Lonchura striata: one gene and its partners. The protein of the gene in region 3 interacts with the protein of the main gene of each other region in a pairwise test. Links are inferred from orthologs where the notes say so. Each region holds a gene or a part of one and is shown on either strand. Other genes may lie near its edges.

Evidence for each region.
Region 1: the proteins of TMEM43 (region 3) and GRAMD2B interact in binary tests that used the Homo sapiens proteins (3 or more experiments, as listed by UniProt). The two-hybrid records come from large-scale screens. The link is inferred for Lonchura striata from reciprocal best matches to the Homo sapiens genes TMEM43 and GRAMD2B.
Region 2: the proteins of TMEM43 (region 3) and SIAH1 interact in binary tests that used the Homo sapiens proteins (3 or more experiments, as listed by UniProt). The two-hybrid records come from large-scale screens. The link is inferred for Lonchura striata from reciprocal best matches to the Homo sapiens genes TMEM43 and SIAH1.

Annotation. Positions count from the first base shown.
Region 1 is NC_134642.1:60,727,041-60,734,580, reverse strand, and holds the start of GRAMD2B (GRAM domain-containing protein 2B), read left to right. Parts: upstream 1-4,534; 5' UTR 4,535-4,608; coding exon 4,609-4,733; intron 4,734-7,540.
Region 2 is NC_134615.1:10,448,280-10,455,551, forward strand, and holds the start of SIAH1 (E3 ubiquitin-protein ligase SIAH1), read right to left. Parts: upstream 3,007-7,272; 5' UTR 2,954-3,006; coding exon 2,863-2,953; intron 1-2,862. UniProt on the Homo sapiens protein: E3 ubiquitin-protein ligase that mediates ubiquitination and subsequent proteasomal degradation of target proteins.
Region 3 is NC_134614.1:14,600,850-14,607,745, reverse strand, and holds the start of TMEM43 (transmembrane protein 43), read right to left. Parts: upstream 3,023-6,896; 5' UTR 2,895-3,022; coding exon 2,883-2,894; intron 1,713-2,882; coding exon 1,560-1,712; intron 594-1,559; coding exon 459-593; intron 1-458. Other genes in the region: CHCHD4 (mitochondrial intermembrane space import and assembly protein 40), read left to right, coding at 3,228-3,249, 4,979-5,077. UniProt on the Homo sapiens protein: May have an important role in maintaining nuclear envelope structure by organizing protein complexes at the inner nuclear membrane. Required for retaining emerin at the inner nuclear membrane.

The DNA of each region.
Region 1 (7,540 bases), on a different chromosome or scaffold from region 3:
TTCTACATATCTGCCTGTAGCATCTCACATACTCAACACAGCATTCATATAAATTCAAGCAGAAACAGGCACAACTGAAAACTCACTACATACAAACTGAATGTATCTCACTATTGCAAATAAAGCACAGACTAGAACAGATTAAATCTCAGTTCAAGAGGAAAACCAAGAAATCTAAGATCAGAAAAAGGAACAGAATATTGGAAACTAGATATAAAACTTACCTAAAAATGTCCAAGCTGATTTTAGAGTGACCAACATGTGACTCATATTTCTTTCTCTATTTGTGGAAAGGTGCACTTTTCACATGTCCAGTTAAGAGGAAAAAAAATATTAATTTCTGAATAGACTTTGTTCAAGCAGGAAAAAAAATGACACAGTCCTAACTATGAAAGACAATGTGGGGTCCAAATCAGAGCATCTGATTCTGCATATACCTCAGAAAACGAAAATTATGAGAGCTAAACCCATAAAGCAAGAACTCAGCTCCCCATTATTCTAGGGATCATAACAGACTAATTATGCAATCCAATTTAAAGGCCAGTAAATTTTGAGACTCAAAACAAACTGATAAAATGACCAGTCATTGATTCCCCCACTCCTTACGAAAAAATCTACAAGCTTTTGTGGCCACATTCCAGCCAAGATGTAAGCTTGCATAAGATTGTACATAACATTCACAGCCACCTCAAGTCACTAGTATGACCTTCAGCCGTAAGTTCAGCAGCTGGTTTAATGCTCATTTGGTTCATTCCTGGATGGTAATAAAAATGAATGTTTTGTTCAAAATATGCTTCCTGACGTCATACAAACTCTGTCTAACAGCATCTCCCTGTATCATCACTTCAACTTGAAATATTTAGGCAGCTTCTTAGCAGTCACCTATCACAAGGCACAAAGTCCTTCCTAGCATAAATGAACCCTCTTGCTCTGAATACTCAGATTTCACCACATTATTCTTCCTATTCCATAACATGAGACCATTAATAAAGGCAAAAGTACTTAAAATGTGTGTAACACAACTGGCATTGTTAACGTATTTCTGAATATCCCTGTCATCAGAACAAATACTCCAGTGACTGAGAAAGCAAAAATAATCTACCATTTCTTTTCCTGAAGTAATTAACTTTATTTTAATGGAAAAACCCAAACAAACAAACAAACAAACAAAAACCCCACAGTAGTAATGAGAAAAAAGAAAAGTGTACATTTTTCCAGACCTTTAATTTCTAACCTTTAAGTGACAATTGCTGCAGACTGAAAATAAAATTGCATGAAGTTCAAGGACACCAGCCACATTTCTTCCCTCTCTGCTTGCCTATCAGAAATAATTGCAACAGTTCTAGACTCCATAAGATACAGTCTAGCAGATAAGTGATAACAGAGTGTCAGTAACAAAGGTCAGAACTAAAGGGCATAGTTTGATAATTGAGAAAAATAAGGATACATTTGGCCAAATATAAATATGGAATTTAAGAAAAGTAGGTTAAAGTAAGAGAAACTGAAGAAATGAAGGGGGAAAGTTGTTTTCATTGTATGAGACAGCAAGAGACAGAGCAAAAAATTTTACTCAAGCTTACAAGCTACTGAGCTACCAGTTTCTTCAGAACATGAAGAACAATTCTCTGGGGACAAGTCCATGTACAGCAGATAGCCTCACCATCAGGAGTATCAACTTCTTCCCACACCTGATCCATCACATCAGAAAGAGAAAAGATACTGGTGTCTGTTAACTACTGCTAAGAAGTCTGAAGTGAGCAGCTACAAAAAATCCTGTATCTGCCCCACATCTCTATTGATGACATTTCTGTGGGTATCTAGACCTCCCCTGAAAATATTTATGCGTATCAGAAAGACATGGAGTGCTAACTGCTTTTAAATTTGCCTAGTGGTTATAAACTACATGGTTTTCATATCCTTGCATCAAAATAGAGCAATCCCAAAGATTATAATACATCTTAGATCCACACAGAATAAAAATTGCATGAATCCAAGTCTTATAATTTATACAGACACCATCAGGTCAGCCCTTCTGGCCTCCTAACTACAACTATCTACTATTTTTCAGCCCTAAAACAATCTCCAAAACAGCTCAAGATCACAGTTGTGCAGACACCCTAGAAATCCATAGCAAACTCAGTTTGTGTGGGCCTGATAATAAGGAGAGAAAATCATCTCTTGAGCATAAGGTGACAGCATGACCATCACTGTACCTTTCTGTTCCCACTAGAAATGCATCTTGTAGGCCTACTCCTCTTCTTTTCATCAATCCAGGGAGCTACTGCTGCAACATACAAGACAGATAAGACCTCTTAATAAGCAAGAGCCATGAGAGTCTCAGGGCGCTGTCACACAAATCTGTTTTTCTTCACATAGCCATATATAACACTGATTATCACTGCAACAAAGCTCCTGAGGTGGAATTGTCAGTGTTAGATTTATGGATGGACTTGATTCACATGATTCTGTGCTTCTATGTCAGACCTGAGCTGACCTAAACTAGTTCAGTAACACCAGCTGTAGGCAGGAGCATTAACTCCCCAGCCTAGTCCTTGACCTGGTTAGCATTGCAGTAGCATGGCAAACCTAGAAGCCCTTCAGTACAGGCATATGCAAGTAGCCATATAATTGCAGGCTGAAAAGCCTTACATACTTACATACACTTATCACTTACTATTGTGGTATAGGATGGAAAAAAAGTAGTTTACAAGCAGGCACAGTAGCCTGTACAAAACTGCAAAACTTGACTGTTTTGTAGAACAGCAAAGATGCATAAAATTGGAGGAAGGAATCATGCCATAGTTTTTCCTTGCCAAGAATGTTCCTGCAATTACTCATTTAGGGAAAAATTCAATTGCCCTCTCACTGTACCTGCTCTTTAACATAGAGAAAGAACATAGTTGCCATTCTGATTCTTAATGAAGGGGTTTCATTACATTTTAATGTACAAATAGACTGCTTTCAAAGATAAATAAGTCATATTGATGGTTTACAAGCTCACTACATCACATGTGTTTTCTGAACAGTTTTAAGAATGTTTCTTTCTTTTAAAAGAATAGACTTCCTATCCTAAGTGAATAGATATGAACAACACAACAGAGCCAAAGCAAATTCTTCTTGTGATTAGAGAAAGAAAAAGCTTTTGATTTGTTGAAGGTTGTACCACTTGTTTTATGGAAGAGTAATAATGTAGAGAGACTTTGCCTAGTTAAGAAGCCCTGTGTTTACAGCCTATGATCACACAGGATCAAGTGCAGAATAACAAAAAGGCCTATTTAGGAGAAAATCAAACATTTACAGCATAGTGACTCAAAGAGGCATTAATTCAGAATCCAAGTAGCTTAAATACAGCACAAGTACAGGTTTTATGGGGAATACTTAAAGACGATGAAAAGCTTTTTTTTTTTTTTTTCTTTTTTATTAAGTCTTCTCCCATTTATTTGGAATTTTTGCTTCCAAGAAAGCAGCTGTTTAATTTTTAACTTTCATAGCTATTATGTAAATCCTGTATTTCAATAGTTACTGTTTCACACATTTATAGATTTCATTACAATTTGCTTAACTGATCACAAGCAAATTTTGTATTTAAAAAAGTCTAGGTATTTAGCTATGAAAGAAACCACAAACAAAAGACATTTTAAAAGAGAAAAATACATCAGTTTGCTTAGATGTCTTTGCATTTACAAATAAAACCTGTGAATAGTCAAAATGAATTTGTGCTGTTTCACAGGGTTTTTGTAGATGCTGAGAACAGAAAGAGTGTATTTTGGGTCAGTCTTATAGAGAAATCTTCATTACTGTGCAGGTCCAAGATGAAGTTTAACAGAATTTGTAAATGCTTTGGATGTTATATCAGCACTATAAGAGGATTTGCAATATAAAGAAAGATTTCTGATTATTTCACTCACTAACATAATCATTATAGTAATCTTCAACAAACAGAAAACCATGCGAATTTGTAGTTAATATTTGCCATTTTATGGAAAAACTCGTTAGACCAACTGGTTTTGTCCTGTTTGGGTTCCTGTGCATTGAGAATTAAAACACGACCTGTATTTAAACTGAACTGCAATGATTTGACTTTTACAGCAGCTACATGCACACATGTGGATGAACTTGTCACTGGAGAAGCGCAATATAATAATTTTAGCATGTTCACAACAGGTGCATATAGTCACTTCTTAAACATATACAAATTTCTTATTTAAACTTGCATGCTTAGATAGATCACAAAGTGTAATTTATGACAAAAAATGTTTTAGTTTTAGGTACAAACCTGAAACCAAAACATCATTTGAAACAGAGTTCTTGTTTTACACTCCTCAATTAATCCAAACAAGTTCTTGTTATGTATAATGAAATTTCAATTACACAGTTCACCTAGATTTTATATGACTGTTGTTCTCAAGTAAACTTCTGAAGTGCTGCAGATAAAAAAGAAAACTCCCTTATGATGTCAGAACACTACGTTACTCATTAACTGATTTTTAAACCCAGTTTGAGCTGGAGTCACACCAAGACAGCACTTCCTACAGCAGAGAAAGGCTGTGTTTTTCACAGATCACTCTAGAATTGAACTTACCTAAGTCTGCAGTTAGCTCCATTAAAATGCTGAAAAAAGGAAGCTCCTTGGAGGACTCCGTTTTCCTTTCTGAAAGTCAGAACAGCTTCCGAAAATCAAGTATTGACACCCCAGCCAGTCCTACGGAGAGTGTTGGATCAGTATTTTTAAGGTAAAACCCAATATATTTGAGTGTTTTTCATGTACTTGATTATGGGGGGAACAGGGCAGCAACAGAGGAGTGCACTGGGACAAGTATACTCATGAAAATACCTAGATAAGGTATTTAATATAAAAAGGAAATGCACACAGAGATGGTAATTTCATGTATATTACTGATTGCACTGGGAAGGGGAGCACTCCTGTAAAGGAGAAACTTGTGATGGAAGGCAGAAAGGTATTGTTCTCTTCTCCCTTATCTATTCACACTGAAATAGGGCTTTGAATGTTTATAACACTATACACTAACAAAACTCAAGTTTTAAAGTGACATTTATGGGGTCACCCAAATATCTATAATATTTTATTTCTGTACAAAACAAATGTAAACTTTGTTAGATCAGGGAGTTTAACAAAATATTTTCATATGTGTTTTGGCCTAAAGGAACTTCATAATGTTTATTAAACTAATTTTCAAGGTAAGTGCCACCTTACTCACTAGAAATATTCAAGGAAGTAGAAAACTTTCTAAATTAATACTAGTAAATGGTTTCCTGATAGAACATTGCAAAAAAAAAAAAAAAAATAGGGGAAAATCTGTTTTCTTACTTTGGAAGGGTGGACTTTTTGAATTGCAAATTCCCTCTATGGTGGAATTCATTGCAACACAGAGTTCTGGAGAAATCATGCACATTTTAGCACAAAAAATGAGGGAAGGCAATGTCAGAGGGCTACTGGCACTTAGTGCTTATCCTTCATCTACTGCAGGAGCAAGACAAGCAAACATCCACAGTACTTCTGTCAACCCATCATGAATAAAATAGCTTAAAAAGCTATTCAAAATATCGTTAGACATTTATTGGTTCTTAATCTGCTTGAAAATTCTTTGCCAAGGGCTGGTACTTAATTGTTGCATGGTGCCAAACAACCCTGAAGAGTGATTTGGAACCTCTACATAGTCTTTGTGTGGCTGAATTACGTTTCTTTGTGGCTGTGCACAAATTCTTTATATGGGATGACAAATCTTATCACTAATTGGGTCACTACTATAAAGGAGACTGTTGGCCTAGTTTTTCTCTTTTGAAATATTATTAGGGATTTTTAATATTATATATGCATAGCATCCTTTCTTCCAACTCAAATGACAGAGAGATAATGTCCAACAGTTTGAACAGATAATAGAGAATCGGAAATTTTAAGTTTTAATTAGAGATTTCAAAGACTCTTATCTAGAAATAATCACTTCAAACTTGTTTTAAAAAAAAACAATTTCACATGACTTTTCATATGCCTCTTGATCTCATTTTGCAATTAGGTGTGGGACATAAGTATATACAGTGATATTTGGCATTAAAAATCACAAGTTGGTGATTTTTAACCACTTCCTAATTTGGACAATATAAATTTTTCCTCCTTTCTATGCCCTGTCCAGAACACTGAGCAGACAGATCTACCTACTTTTTTATTTACCACTAAATAACCAGTACACAAAAAGTTGCCATATATGCCCTGGGGGCAGTGTGATCAGGCCTTACAAAGAACAGTCCTTTACCCCCAATTTCTCAATAATCAACCTGCCTGCCAAGTATCCAGTGGTAGGAGCAGGCCTTCTAGAAAGCCAGTTTACAGTTTGCTGGTTCGGTAAGGATAATATGATCATAAAACCCTGTTGTGAAACCAAACCTCTCTCAATAGCAAAGATGGAGTAGCAGGCTGCAAATATTAGACAATCTAATAAGGAGGATGCACAATAGCACACAATAAGCTAGACAGACTAAGCTCTCACTAAACTTGCTTTTCATGTGTTTGTCACAGTCATGATACATTTATTGAAAATGAGCCCCATTAAAAATCATGGAAAATGCTTTTGCAAAAAGTAAATGCAGGATCTGCATTTTTAGGTACTATTTTCATACAGTCTTATTTATTTGGAGCATATTTTCTATATATGAAGATTTACCCACAGAGAAAATTTACTATATTAATGATCCTTCTTGTTTATTCTAATTATTCATGCCTGAGGAGAAAAACTGACTATATGCCTAAGTTTTTACATACTTCTGTTTTCACCTCACTGTAATTGGCACGTGGATGAGTAGGAATTTAGCAGAAATCAGGGAGTTATTAACACTTCATAAAGGGGAAAGCTTATCATTATGGCAGCATGTTATTCCTGACATAGAGCAAAACTGATTTCAAAAGGAAATTAAGACTCTGGAGCTAAAGCTGAGGTGTCAGCCATATATTATCAATCAGAAATTTGTATTTATAAAAGTACTGGCCACATGTTTTGCAGCATTTTTTCAGCATGAATGTACAGAGTTGTTCTGACATCAGAACAAAATATGGGCAAAAATACCAGGGATTTCAAGCTCCCATCTGGAGCCCATCCCTATGATATGAGTCAATACTTGTATCCAGTTCTCCTAAAATTTAGAAAACTCTTAAGGCTTTTGATTTTGAATAATCTCCTGAGTGACCCTAAAAAAAAAAACAAAAACCCCAAACATATTGAACACAAGAAAATTTGTTTTTTAGACCAGCAATTTAGACCACCAATTCTGTGCAGTCATAATGCTACGTATGTTTAGGCCAATCTTAGCAATAATTGCATTGCAGGTAATATATTAAATGATTTTTAAAAATCAGCATTTGGCAGTAACATTGATATTAGGTGAAAGTTACAAATAATTTTTTTTTAAGTACAGAACAATGTTTTTAAAATTACAGAACATAGAGAGGTTTGTTTTCTAAATATCTCATCAAAATGGAAATCAAAAGGGTTCTTGACTCCAGTCCGGACCTGGCAGCTCATTTGGT
Region 2 (7,272 bases), on a different chromosome or scaffold from region 3:
CCAATGTAATACAAACTGCGTATGTGCTATGTGTAGATCGATACAGACACTCCCGTGACATGGAAACTTAACAAGTGAAGGACTTCTGCTCATTGTTCGGAAGAGGCATTTAGCTACTGGAAGCTGCAAGACAGGGGAGTAAAAACATGCTAAAAATTTAATACTGCATTTATGAAATGCTTCACACCCAGATCACTTGTGTGTACCAACTCTGTGTATGGAACAATTCTAAGCTGCCGTGTAAGAGAAACAAGGCTTTAATGAAAAAAACTATCTTCTGGATGTGACCTTCTCAGTACTCATACTTACAGTGTAATTTTTTAAGAAGTTGAAAAACACAGCTCAGACAATTACTACTCTGCTTTTTTGCAGGATAGGACAGTGACTCTTCATTTTCACTACTCTACTATTGAGGCCCATGGCTTGTAAAGCACAGCCACTGCTTCAGCTTCCTTAACAAAACCATTTGTGACGATACCAGAAAAAAAAACCCACAGCAATTACTTTATTTAATTTCCCAACTAAGACTAAAAATTCGAACTTCACTTGTTAAATTTGAGTATTCATTTTACCATGTAAATACTCAGACATTTTCAGTCCCTCTTGATGAAGTTCTATATTCAGTGGAGCTCCCACTGAAGTTCTGTCCTCTCTAATGTCCCCCGACAAAGGTGACAGCTGTCTGACCTAACAGCTTACTCGAACATTCCACAGATGTGGAACAAGTACTGACCACATTTTGTAACACATTGTGTTTTCCTGCACTCCTAACTCTCCTCCTTCTTGTACAAAAGACATTACTAGCGCTATCTGAAAAAATAAACCATACCTTTGTAGGTAAAGGGCAGTTAAATAAAATGCTATCCAAAATTGGCTTCTGTTATAGAGTACAATTCTCAGCCACACTAAGTGCCTCTCTGCGAGTACAACCAGCTCTGGATCTGTCACGTACGTATAAAGCTCTCAAAATAAACCTCATCTTTAATCTCCTTGCTATTTGACATGGGAATATTAGGCAATAGGCAAGCTTCCCATATTTAGCATCATTTCACCACAAACTTACTCATACTTGGACCAGACAGCTCAGAGCAACATACTGTGCATGCTTTTGCAAGACATGCACTGTTCAAAAACACCAAGCAGAAGAACTAAGAGATTCCTACTTGCAAAATGACTTAAGTCCTTGACATTTAGAAAGTAACGAGAGACAGACAAGTCCAAATTACTCTACAGAAGTACCTCTCCCCAGAGCTAGAAAAGTATGAGTGTCTAAGATATGATTCTCAGACACTGATTTTATGAGTCTCATGTGTCCCATTGACAGCATCTTCCTAACCCACCAAATTCTCTTCCTCCATCTCAGTCTTGGTGGTTTAGAAGTACCTTGAGAAAAACACCCATGCAGCAGTTTTCAGTGCTGGGCCATAACTGATCCTGTAGAGCTATGACAAGAATGCTTGTGTCTTTTGGCTGTATCTTCCCACTGTGAGGCATTCCAACTTAGATGAGAAGTTCAGGGTGTCTGTGACAAATCAAGCATGTGTCCTGGAGAAGTGATGCTGCACCAGGGAGGGGACTCTGCCAGCTGTACTGCTCTATGTCCCAGCAGCTGCAGGTCTGTGCTCCAGAACAAACCACTGGGCACAAGAGAACCAATGCTGATCACACCTGTTCGCTTGGGAGGAGCTTAGAAACAACATATTCACATGTAAAATTCTGGAAGTGTTTCCCTTCAAATACTGCAAACACACACATTTCAGAAAAGTCTGTGCTGTGCTTCCTCTTGCCTGACCCTGTAGATCCTGATCCAGGGATCCTCCATAACCTGCAGATAAGGCAGGTGAAAACCACTGTGTCAGACCAGTTCCCTGGGCAGCCTGACAAGCTGGGTGAGCTCTGCCGTCTTTAATTACACCTCGCTGAGCCCATGCAACAGTTAAATGAAGCAACCTACAAACTTTGCAAAAGAGCTTGTGCACGGATGCACTTCCCACTTGAGCTTTCTAAGGTATGGAAGAGAACAGAACTATGTTACCACTGCTCCTGTGTGAGCAGCCTTCACACACCTTCCACAACACTCACAGGAGCAGGGAATGGAAAGGAACAGGGAATGGAAGGAGCAGCAACTGGGAACAAGGAGCAATCTCTGAACCAGCCCACTGAGATCAGCATGCAGGAAAGACACTGCATAAGGCTACAAACTGTAATTCACCAAGCCTAAACCTGCCCAAAGCCTACATTTTCATCACTCTTGTTAACACAAAGATGAATAATACATCTTTTATGGCTATCTCAAAAGTTACAAGTTAATCACAAGCAAAAGTTTTAACAGTGTAATACATTTAACCCACCAAACCATGAAAATCATACAATTACAAACCAAGGAAAAACAGCTACAGAACTGGAGATAAAGTTTAAAGACATTTTTAGTTACAAACCCCTTACTACAGGTAAAAACACTTATATGCAATATTTGCTATTTCATTATCTTTATTTGCACACATTAGGAACAAGTTTCTAAGCAACAGTGACAAACTAAGGAACAGTAAGGTGTCATTTTCAAGAGTATTAGCTCCTTTAACTCCAATTACCAAAAACACTGTGCATATTAAAAAAAAAAAGAAAAATTACCCAACAGTAAGAGTGAAAAGGGGAGAACACATCTTAAGATTTCCTAGCTCTAAATCAAGCAAAGCAGCTCTTGGTAACATCTAGAAGGCACCTGTTGCTAAAAGGACTCTCGACACTGTTCTGGGAAAGGCGACATGCACAGGTTACCGACACCTCCCGCGGAACACAATTTAACAGCTCCTGCAAGCCCGGCTTCAAATACTGCGCATAAGGCAATTTAAAGGGCGCTACCTTTCCCCTTGCAGGTTTTACTCCCCGGCAAGCACGCAGACCAGACGCCCTTCCAGGAGTACGGCCCGCTGGAGGCAGATCTGCCCGTCATGGGGCGCGGAGGAGCTCATGGCGTGTCCGCGCAGCACGGGCGGGCTGGGGCCGCGGGCCGGGCGGCGACCGCGCCGAACGCCCCCGCGACGGCCGCGGGGCCCCGCGCCGCGCCCGGATCCGCCGCCCCGGCCGGTGCCGCCGCCCCCGTGCGCGGCCGCGCTCCGGCCCCGCGCCCCAAAATGGTTCCCCGAGCTTCCCCCGGCGCGGCCGGCGCGGGACGGCCCCGCCCCGCCCCGCCCCGCCCGCCACCGCCTCCGGGGGAGGACGCGCCTCGGCCCCGCCCGCGGCCCCGGGAGCCGGCCCCGGGAGCCGCCCGCCCCACGCGGCCCCGCCCCGCACGGCCCCGGGAGCCGGACCGCCCCACACGGCCCCGCCCCACACGGCCCCGGGAGCCGGCCCCGCCCCACACGGCCCCGCCCCACACGGCCCCGGGAGCCGGCCCCGCCCCACACGGCCCCGCCCCACACGGCCCCGGGAGCCGGCCCCGCCCCACACGGCCCCGCCCCACACGGCCCCGGGAGCCGGCCCGCCCCACACGGCCCCGCCCCACACGGCCCCGGGAGCGGCCCCGCCCGCCCCACGGCTCCCCAGGGCCGCCCGCCCGCGGCCCGGCCGTGCCTCACACGTGCGCACGGAGAAAGCCCTCTGCTTCCCCCGAAATAACTCCCCGGCAAAAGCTACAGCTTCCGTTCAAAACTCTTCTAACACATGAAAATCACTTCCTCCTATTTCAAGGATATTCCTCAGATGAGCACTTTTCACTGTGGATCTATAAATTCCTATTCAACAGGAATTTTCTCCATCTGTATAAGTATTGCTCAATGAAGCAAAAGCATAATCTCAAGGAGAAGAGATAACCAACAGAACTAAAACAATGTGGCATATTTGATTATCTACTTGGAGTATTAAAAAAAATTAGAACAGGTAAAAGGATAAAGTTAGAAGCCAAGTCAACACACTTGCGTGAAGCACATGCTTTGCTCAGAAAAGCTTAGACATTATGGAACGCTGATGTAATGATGGTAAGATCATGGAAGTATAAGTTGCAGTGGAGGCAACAGAACAAAACACACTGAGATAAACTGTTGTCACATAAAAAGCAAGGCTATGAAATCTGAGTAAAGATAATTATCTTTAAAGTGCTTTCCTCCTATTTCAAATCCAAGTCCTTTTCAAGAAGACTTGTATCAGCACTGTAATACCTGCAAATAATGCCCAACTGCTATAAAAACAATCTACCCACTCAATACAAGGCTTCCTTCAGTCTCGCCCGAAAACCTGCAATCTACAGCATCCCACCAGGTAAGAGTCAAGGAAGTTTACAAGCAGAACAGAGAAGCTGAATAAAAACTGCATAAAAACAGCTTTTGAGAAGCTAATAGCGCGTTGTGAGGTGCGCGAAACGTGTCCCAGGCTGCCCCCCGTGTGGTCCCCAGAGCCACCCTCCGGCCCCTGGCCACGGTACAGCTGCTGCTGCCCGTGTGCTTTGCTGGCTGCGCAGTGCCCCGGGGACAAAGCCTTTGGGACCCGGACACAGAACCGAAATCCTGTACGAAAAGCAAGGCACAACCAAACCACTGGTTAAAAAGCTCTGCTGGGGCGCAGGCACACAGAAAGTAGTTTGAAGACATTGAAAAAGATTGTGTGCCTCACGTGCCTGGGCATTATTAATGGCAAATAGACTGATACTCTTCCAGCTTCTCACCTTACCAAGGTGTTAGCTCCAGACCCATTCTAAAAATCACATTTGTGCTTCACTGGAATACAAGGTACCTCTGACAAATTCAACTTAGCATCATCCACTTCTCTCATATCAAAAAGCACATCTTCTTTCATATCCTCACCCATATCAAATAGATTAGACTTGAATTTAGCATTTTAGCTAGCTTTTGAAAGGGTAACTGAATATTAGTTTGAGGAAAAAAAATACACAAAAGCTCTCTATAGTCATCTTAATGGTTGGAAGGGAAAAAGTCCCATATAAGAGTAATAAACACAAAAAATTTATCACAATTGTCTGTATGTGATGCAACAACATATATTTTTCTATAACATTTAAAAACCGAGTTCAGGAACTTCCATTTAAAATGCACTCTTAATTCATTATAGCCACCAACAAAGTAATAGAAAATCTTTCATCTTTTTAAACAGTGTAATCATATTTGAATAAGACTTTTTCACACACAGTACTATTAAGAGAGAACAGGATGAAGTTGTGAAAAACACTGACAAGTTACTTTTTTCAAGATGTGACACAAACCAAAGAATGTTAAGACCCAAAATCTAAATGAAAGGCTGAAAATGCTCATTAAACATAATACCTATCAGAGAAAAGCTTGCCAATATTTTTTAAGAAACTAGTATTTTTATTTAATTTCAAAGATATGTTAGGGTGCAAGGTTTTGCCTTTTGCAGTCTATCAGCTCTTGGGAGATGTTAGATCCCAAGGGCCTGGCACGGTTAGGATCAAATGCAGGCCTGGACAGACATGTGCACCTCTGCTCAGACACAGCCTCTGGATCTGCTGGCCTACTTCACAATTTTTAGAACACAGTTCATGACATAAATTATTAATCAACTATATAATACAATTTAATCTCTATCCACTCTGGTTTTGACTAATGAATTAGGATTTTTTTCAATCCTTCCAGACACTCTTTTCTTTGGTGCCCTTAACTATGCTATTTGTTATTTCAAGACACCTCAGGGTTCTCTTTTCCTCCATAACAAGCAAAAGCTAGATCAATCCAATGTAACAGAATATTATAAAACAAGACCAAAATAAATATACAAAACTGAGTCAAGACTCTTGATGATTTCCTTTGCCAAAATGTCATCAGTCCAATTCATCTCTTTTTCATACACAATTAGACCATTTCCTGCTACCTTGTAGTGACCCACTCTGCCTGAAACTGCAGGCAGCTTTTTTCTTGCACCTCAAGACATTCCCTACCAACCCCATTTTCCAACCACCACGAAGGGAAATCCCAACAGATTTATATAACCATGGAATTGTCTTTGTGGCCAGCACTGCAGGGAGCCTCCAGCCCCTGACACCCCACATTTCTGATGTTCTCTCGTGTTCTCTCACGGCCCCCAATGGAGCCATGGCAGTCCCTGTCCAGACCTTCTCCAAGTTCACCACACCCCACATGGCAGATGCAGACACAAACACAGCCATGGAAACACCAACAGCATTGTTCCACCCACCAAATCAGAGTGACCTATTTCTAACTCAGCACAAAACCCAGACTTTGGTCAGGGCTGTTTGATTTCTCCCTCCTCGCCATCACTCACTATTTCTTCTGTGGAGATATGCTGGAATATTCAGCATCAGCCCAGGAGAGGTTTTTCCCTAGCTGCTAAAGATTTTCTTTCCAACAACTTTATAAGGTTAAGATTAGGAAGGAACAGTATCCTGTAGAAGACATACAATAAGCACATCAAAATCAAATCACACTAGTAACCAACTACTATTGACTGAAGTGTTCAATTTTAAATGCAACAAAGAAATTTATCAGTTCCAACAAGTGAATAACCTGTTCTCCAGTCCAACAGAGTTTCAACATCCACCTTTGCACAGAATACTGCATCCCATGCTGCTATGGTACTCCAGCCTTGGGAAGGAAGACAAGCTGAGGAACAAAGCTCTGCAAAAAAACTGATAAATCCCCCAGTTTCATTCAGAAGGAAAACTAAAAGTGTCTGATCAAGAGCCAAAACATGAGTTTGGACCACTCACTCTGTACTCTATAGGTGGAGAATATGCCAGCTTTCCCAACTTACATATAGAATTAAATTTAAAAGTAGATTTCCTTGTAAATTCAGACCCTCCTACAAATCATAAAGCAAAACAGGATGTTTATCTCTTCTGTTTTTTGAGCTTGGAAGGAAAGGAAGGAGGACAGAAAGCAAAAGCTACAGGAAATATCAAAGAAATTCCAGAAAATTTAAGCAATATTAAAAACAACTAATCAAATGCCACCGTGAACAAAGAAAATGTAGTAATATATTAAATAAATTGATATAAGCAACAAAATAAAAATTATTTATATTTGGTAATCTAATGTAATAAAAGAGTTAAGCAACAAACTAGCTAGTGAAACTATATTCAGCTAAACAAAAATACAGGGAAAAAACACTCTTTAAATACAAATCAAAACCAAACACTTGCATTAAAAATATCATGGACCACTTCCACATTGGAATTGAACATATTTTTCCTTTTTAAAAACAAGCAAATGACTTGTCTTGCTGTGACACCGCCAAATCCCACCTAGCAGAAAAACACTGCTCCAAGCTGTATTCTGCACACTC
Region 3 (6,896 bases):
ATGGGTTTACAGGTTTCAGTGTTTAAACCAGGAGATTCTGTTTTGCTGGAAGGTGCTGTGTTACCTTCTGCAATGTGAGTGGACCATGGAAAATGTCACCATTACTGAAAAGTAAAAAATTGCAGAGCTCCTGTGCTGCAAGACCCTGAACACTTAACAATATCATGAACACACAACAGGTTCCCTACAAAAATGGCAATTGAAATTATCCATAAAAGGCAGCTTGAGGGTAAACACAGCTAGAGCTGGCATTGGCTTGAAGAAGGGAGTGCAAGGCCATTCAGCATCTCCCTGGTTCCAGCCCAAGAACCAGAGCTTGAGTGGTAGCTACCAATGCATAGAGGAGGAGAAAAGCCATGTGTCTTTTCCTGGATATCAAACAAAACTTTGAATGGCAAAGACTTTTCCTTCCCTCCAAGCTTGAAATACTCATATCTTCAAGATACTATTTTATTTACCTTAGATGTACTCAGAGCTCCAGCCAAGTGCACCAGTCTCCCCTCATTCTGCTGAGAGATACTGAGGATGCTGTCAAGAGGGACCACAAGAGAAAGCCCCTCATCGAGAGACTTGGCTGTCCTTAAAGCTCGTCCCTGCAATGAAGAAAAGAGAAATCAAGTTGTGGAGAATCAATGTCACAGCAGCATTTTGTGAACAAGATTAGCAGCATCACAAGAACTGATGACCACAAGGAATCCTTGTATATTCAGCCCAAGGCATATTTTTCAAACACACTTGTACTTCTCTATTCTCTGTCTGAGCCAGTTTGGGGCAGTACTTCTCACTCAGGCAGTGGGACCATTAACATTGACTAAGCTTCTCAAACAGACTCAAATTCTTCCTACACAGGTCTAAACTTACTGCTCTGCACTTCTTACCTTGTTCATCATTCCTCAGTAACTGCAAAAATGATATAAATTATAGTTCATTTTCTACACACCTATATTGACTCCTTGGCAGAAGTTTTCCCTGCTTATCATCATATCCTGATGGGCTTTTTTTCTGCAAAGTCATCAAAATTTGAAGCAGTTATTATTCCTCTTGTAGAGGTATGAAAAGAAGTCTCTACATGAAAACCCACAGAATTCTGATCTCCACTCCAAAATTGCCAAAACAAGTATGTTTTCAATGGTAGGGTGTTAAGATTCCTGGATGACTTTTTTTTTTTTAAAACCTCAAACCAAGAAATAATACTGAGAAACTCTGTATTATTTCTGAGAACTCCTCTAATTTTGCAACATGGGGTATGAATTTCTTTAAAGTAATTATAACACCACTAGAAATTAGGACCTTTTGTTATCTCAAGAAAAAAGAGGGCGGGCTCACACAACCCTCTTACCACAGGCTGTTTCATCACCAGTTTACAAGCTTTGGATGTTATTTCTCATCACACACTGCTACTGTCTCTACCATACCTATTTTCAGAGAAATACTACCTGTGGCCTGTGATTTCACTTTTCTGTTACATCCCAAGCATATACACAAGGTCCCCAGACAAAATCTCCTCTTCTCAAAGATCAATTAATGCTGTGTACAAACACTGACAGTATTGCACTTACTTCATTGGTAAAAAGAAGGTAGAAAGCCAGAAGAAATGTCACAAGTCCAATCAACATGCCTCCAGAAGTCTCACTGAGTCGCTCCAGGAACCCTGGTTTGCGCTCACTTGTGATTTTAACATGCTCTTTTCTGCTGCCTGTGTCAGAGAACTGCTGAAAATAAACAAAAGTGCCATATTGGTGTGAAAGGGGAAAGCATTCCGTTTCAAAACAAGTCTGCTAGCTTTGTTAGCACTGCTGCACTACAGAGAACCTCTTGCCTTGGACCAAAACTTGCCGACACTTATAAAATGCCTTAGCACGCTTTTAATACCAGAAACACATTCGATAAATAAGACTCCATCCTGGTAGAAAAAAACCGCAATTTCTATTATAGTGGTTCTACATGTTCAAGCTGTCTTCGGTCTGCCTCCAGGTTCTGTATTTGGAGTCCACGCCCTACATTCATGCCATGACAAATTGAGTAATAGCCCTAAATTCCTGACCAGCTAAAACACTGCTATAAATAACAAATTATGATTCACCTCACCAGTAAAAAGTGTGCCTGCACACTCTAAAATAATTATATCCAGGTTAACAATAACTCAAAACAAGGCACAGGACTAACATGAGAGCCCAGGGGTTTTTCTGTGCACACGCAGCTTGTGAGGAGCTACCAAATCCCACTGCAGCACACTCACACAGCCAAAGCAGGGCACGGAACTTCTCTGTATGGAAAAACACACTACGAAAAGCCAGTGGCCATAAAGGAGAAAGAGAACTCCTGTAACTTTATTCGAATAAAGGCAGTCCAATAGAGTCCAATGGGGCACACAGCCGCGGAGTTTTCTCGAGGTTTCGGGGGGTGCAGCCTCCTTTCATCCTAAACTCCTGGCTGCTCGCTGCCTCTTCCTTTCCCCATCGGCTCCTCGGAAGGTGGACAGAACCTTCCCGAACCGGCTTCCACATATCCCCCTCCTTGAACCCACTGTTTTACCTCAAGGTTCAGAAGTTCAGGTCTGTGGAGACCCACTTTCTGTTCCACGAGTTAGGCTGTGTGGGCTCTGTAACAAACCTGCTGCCCAAAGTTCACAAACTCAGGCTTGTGCAGATCCCCTTCCTGTGTCAGGAGCCAAGCCGCCTCAGCTCGGCAACCAGCCTGCTGCCCAAAGTCAGTAGCGACGCGAAGACCCATTTCAAAGGCATTAACACCCATACTTTCAGCCATGGAATTATTTGCAAAGACATTAGCACACATCTTCCCTCTCATCTAAAGACGGCACCGGGCCGTGGCCGCAGCCCTGGCACACCGGGGGCGAACGGGCCGGAGCGAGCAGCACTTACGTTCCTCGACATCCTGAGCCTCTCACGCCCCCCGGGAACCACAGCTCAGGGGCCGCCGGAGCCGCGCACCGCCAGCCGCGCCCTCAGCCGCTCCCGCCCCTCCTTCCTCCTTCCCTTCCCGCCTCCCTCTCTCTCCGCCCTGCGGCCGCGGGGCAGGCGGAGCCCCGCGGCCGCAGGAGGTGCGTCACGGCCGCCGCGGGGCCGGGAAGGCGCTTCCGGAGGCGGGAGGTCGCGGCGTGGAGCGGCGGCGCGGCGCTGCCCGAGCGGTGCCGGCGGGACGGCAGGAGCGGAGCGGCGGGGCCCGCGTGCGGCGCGCTGCGGAGGAAGGCACCGGCCGGCTCCGCCATGTCCTACTGCAGGCAGGAAGGTGCGCCCGAGCGTCCTCCCAATGTCACCCCGCCGGGGGTGGGTGCGCCGCGGGGGGACCGTCCGCTGCCCGCAGCCCGCCAGGGGAAGGCGCAGCCGGAGGGGAGAGGAGGCGCGGCGGCCGCCCGCGGTCCGCGTGTAGCGGCGGCAGCGCCTCGCCTCCCGCCGCCGACCTTTCTCCTCACGGAGGGCGGCGGGGCCGTGGGGCGGCAGCGCGGTCCCGGCCGTGTGGGCGCGGTGAGGGCACGGTGAGGGCACGGTGGGGGTACGGTGAGGGCACGGTGAGGCCCCGCAGCGGCCGGAGGTGCCCGCCGAGACCGCGTGTGGCCTCAGGGCGGCTCCCGGCCGCGGGGCGCCTGCTGCCCGCCGGGGTTACATTTATCCCAGCCTGGCTGAGCGGCCAGAGCTGTGGGGTTTTGCCTTTTTAAGGTCGATGGGCAGGGTGGGTGTAGTGCGAGCGATTCTGTATCGTGTTGTACAGGTGGTGGTGTTTAACCACTTCTTAAAGTGGGAGATGCGTAGATAAGTATCTATATCTACTTATATATAAATAAAAATCCTTGCTCTCCTAAGTAATGCCAAGTGGCTGAATGTAAAGTTTCAGGATGAGGAAAAAAGCACCAATAGTTCTAAATGCCATTCGTAAGTTACAAACTTGGCCACAGACTATAAACTGTATCGAGGTGGTCATAACTTATGGACCTCTTTTATGCTTTATGCTGTGCTTTGTTTAGTTTTGCAATATCTGTAAGTTGCTTTATGCAACCCTACAAAATTGCAGTGACAGGGTTAGAGTTCATGTGTTTTCTCTCTCCTTTTATATAAGAAATGACCAAACGTTCCACATTGTACTCCAGCAAACTTTACCATGCAGATTTGTAAGAAAATTGTTACCATTTTTTTAAAAGGTCTTAGATTTTTCTGTTTTTCAGATATGTTTAAATGCATGGTTACTCAGCAAGGTTAAGTTACTGAACATCTGCTGGCTGAGGTCACACTGAGGGGCCAGAAGATTCTAATTTCTCATATGTCAAGTTACTGTAGTGGCCTTTATGAATTTGGAGAATTCTTGGGGAGTTTACCATTTTTTCCACTCTCAGAGTGTGTGTTAGAGCTTTGCAAGGTTGTTAGAAAACTAAAACTACTGAAGTTTCCAGCCAAGCCTCCCCCGACCCCACTATGGAATGTTTTAGTTAAATCAAGAGCAGGAAATTTGCTCTGTTGCATTTCCATCCCTTGTAACGTTCACAACACTTTTCAATGTAGTTAGCTCTATATGGTGACGGCTGTCTTCTGTTTTTAATTCATATGATTAGTTTAAAATATTATACTGGTCTTTAGCAAAGAGTGCTGTTATTAATAAGTACCTATTGAATGCTTTACTGCTATTATAGGGTTTTTTTTTCCACTTCTAAACCTGTCATCTGTTTTAGTCCTTGTCTTGGAGCAATTTGAGTTTGTTTTGAAACAGCTTTTTAAATTTGCAGTTCAGTGGAGTCTACTGTTCATTACAGGACATTGCTATGAAAATTGGAGCTTTAGAATAACAGAATTTCAGTGTGTATGTGTTCCTCTGGACTAGCAACTGTTGTCATTGAAGGTAATTGTTAAATACAACAGTTCATTCTCAATATTGGTGAGTCACATTGTGGTGTTCAGCAGTTTTGTAAATAAATCTTTTTCCATCTCAGATTTCTCTGAACTGTTGTTTCTTGTCTCCTCCATGGCAGGAAAAGACAGAATAATATTTGCAACCAAGGAGGACCATGAGACACCGAGCAGTGCTGAGCTGGTTGCAGATGACCCAGATGACCCTTACGAAGAGCAAGGTCAGTAGTGAGCTGAAGAACAGAAGTAAGGGGTGTTACATCATATATAAATCCAACAGAAAACAATCCCTGCACGAATTAGGAAAACTTAAGCATATTTAAAGCCTGAGGGCAGCTGGTTATGCAGAAAATACCCAAACTCTTAGCAGTTTTAACTGCGAGGTTAGGACATCACTAATGATACGCTTTATTCCAGTATTTTGTCTTCTACACTTGTGATTTTTCTTAGTACCTGTTCAAATAAGTTGATGGCTTTTAGTTTTGGTTAGTGGCCAGGGATATGCAGGGATACCTTTTCCTTTTATTAATAATGTTAGAGCCTAATCAAGTGAAAATTATGATTGTTTTTCCTGTTTTAAGTAACAGTGTGCAATTTTTAGAGAAACTAGGGAAGTTTTATATCACTGTCATTGAAGTGAGTTGCTCACCTGCCTGTGAGCAGTTGGAATTGCCTACTATGGCAATGTCTGAATATCTGATTTAATATAAATTAATATCTGGCTAATCTATACTATACTGGTAGCAATATAATCAATATCTTTCAGTGCCACATGACGGGTAAGTTAAAATTACTGAGTTTTCAGCTGCTATCATTGTGCCTTGAAAATGCAAAAGTTTTAATGAAGATTACAGTTCTTGTCTGAAGCATATCTAACCTGAAAATAGAGATTTAAGAGAGCAGAATAGTTCTGAGACCAAGATTTACAATATTCTGGTTGTGTATTTTAAATAATGGGTACATGAAATATATTTCCTGTAATGATTATTTAATAACTTTTGCCCTGGGTTAATGATTATCATGGAAATGTGAGTTTAGGTTAATTTTTTCTAATTGCCTGTATGTTTACAGACCTTTTGGTCTCTTCACTTTGTGGGAAGGGATTTCATTGGTTTCAGCTGAACTGAAGCTGAAGTAAATTCTTCAGACTCTTTGAACCTTAGTTAGAAAGTGAAAGTTATGCTTTCTAAAGTGTCTCAGAGACCTTTAGAGGGCAGCATTTAAGCAGTTTAGCAGCTGGAGCTCACAGGGTTTCTGTTAGCTGATATGGTGTGTAGTGTAATTTGAACCATACCTTCCTCTGTCATTTAGATTAACTTTTTTCGTACTTAGACTTGTGTTGAAATGTTACTGCATTATCTGCCTATTTTGGTTTCATTTGAGCTGTATGTAGTCAGTTATATATCCAAGTGTTTTTCTCACCTGCACTGATAAGTCTGTTGATGTCCTGGTGTGACATACTTTTGGGTAATAAACTAGTCAAAATTAAAAAAAAAACCACTTTATTTTTGTTTAAATGCCATATAATTCATTGCTCTTACGTGTATTCTGGTGGACATGGAAAGGCTGTGGTGAGGAGGAGAGGTGATGGGCTTTGTTTCCTGCAGTCCTGCATTTACAGAATGTTAGGTCACTTTCTTCCTCAACAATAGATAAAGAAGAAAGGGGAAAAGCCAGGAGGTTTTTATGTCACCTTACAGTGACAGTATGTGTCTGGGGTTTCAAAATGAGAAATATGTTTAAGTACTGTCAAAAAGTTTGGGTGGGAATTTCTTATTGTGTGATTTTCTTAGTTTGTTGAGTTTTATTCTTAGTATGTGGTACATTACTGCCGTGTTTTTAAGTCTGAAAAACCTCTTGAATGATGCAGGGCTACAGTGCATTAGATCAGAAGAGAGAAAATGGACCAATCCCAGAATGTAGCAGTAGGGAGTGAAGCTTATGGGCAGGAAAGACATGGGTAAAATGGTTTGAAATATGTTGAAATGCTGAAGCTCTGGCATGCATTGCTTTTATTTAAAAGAAAATTGGGAAGGGTTT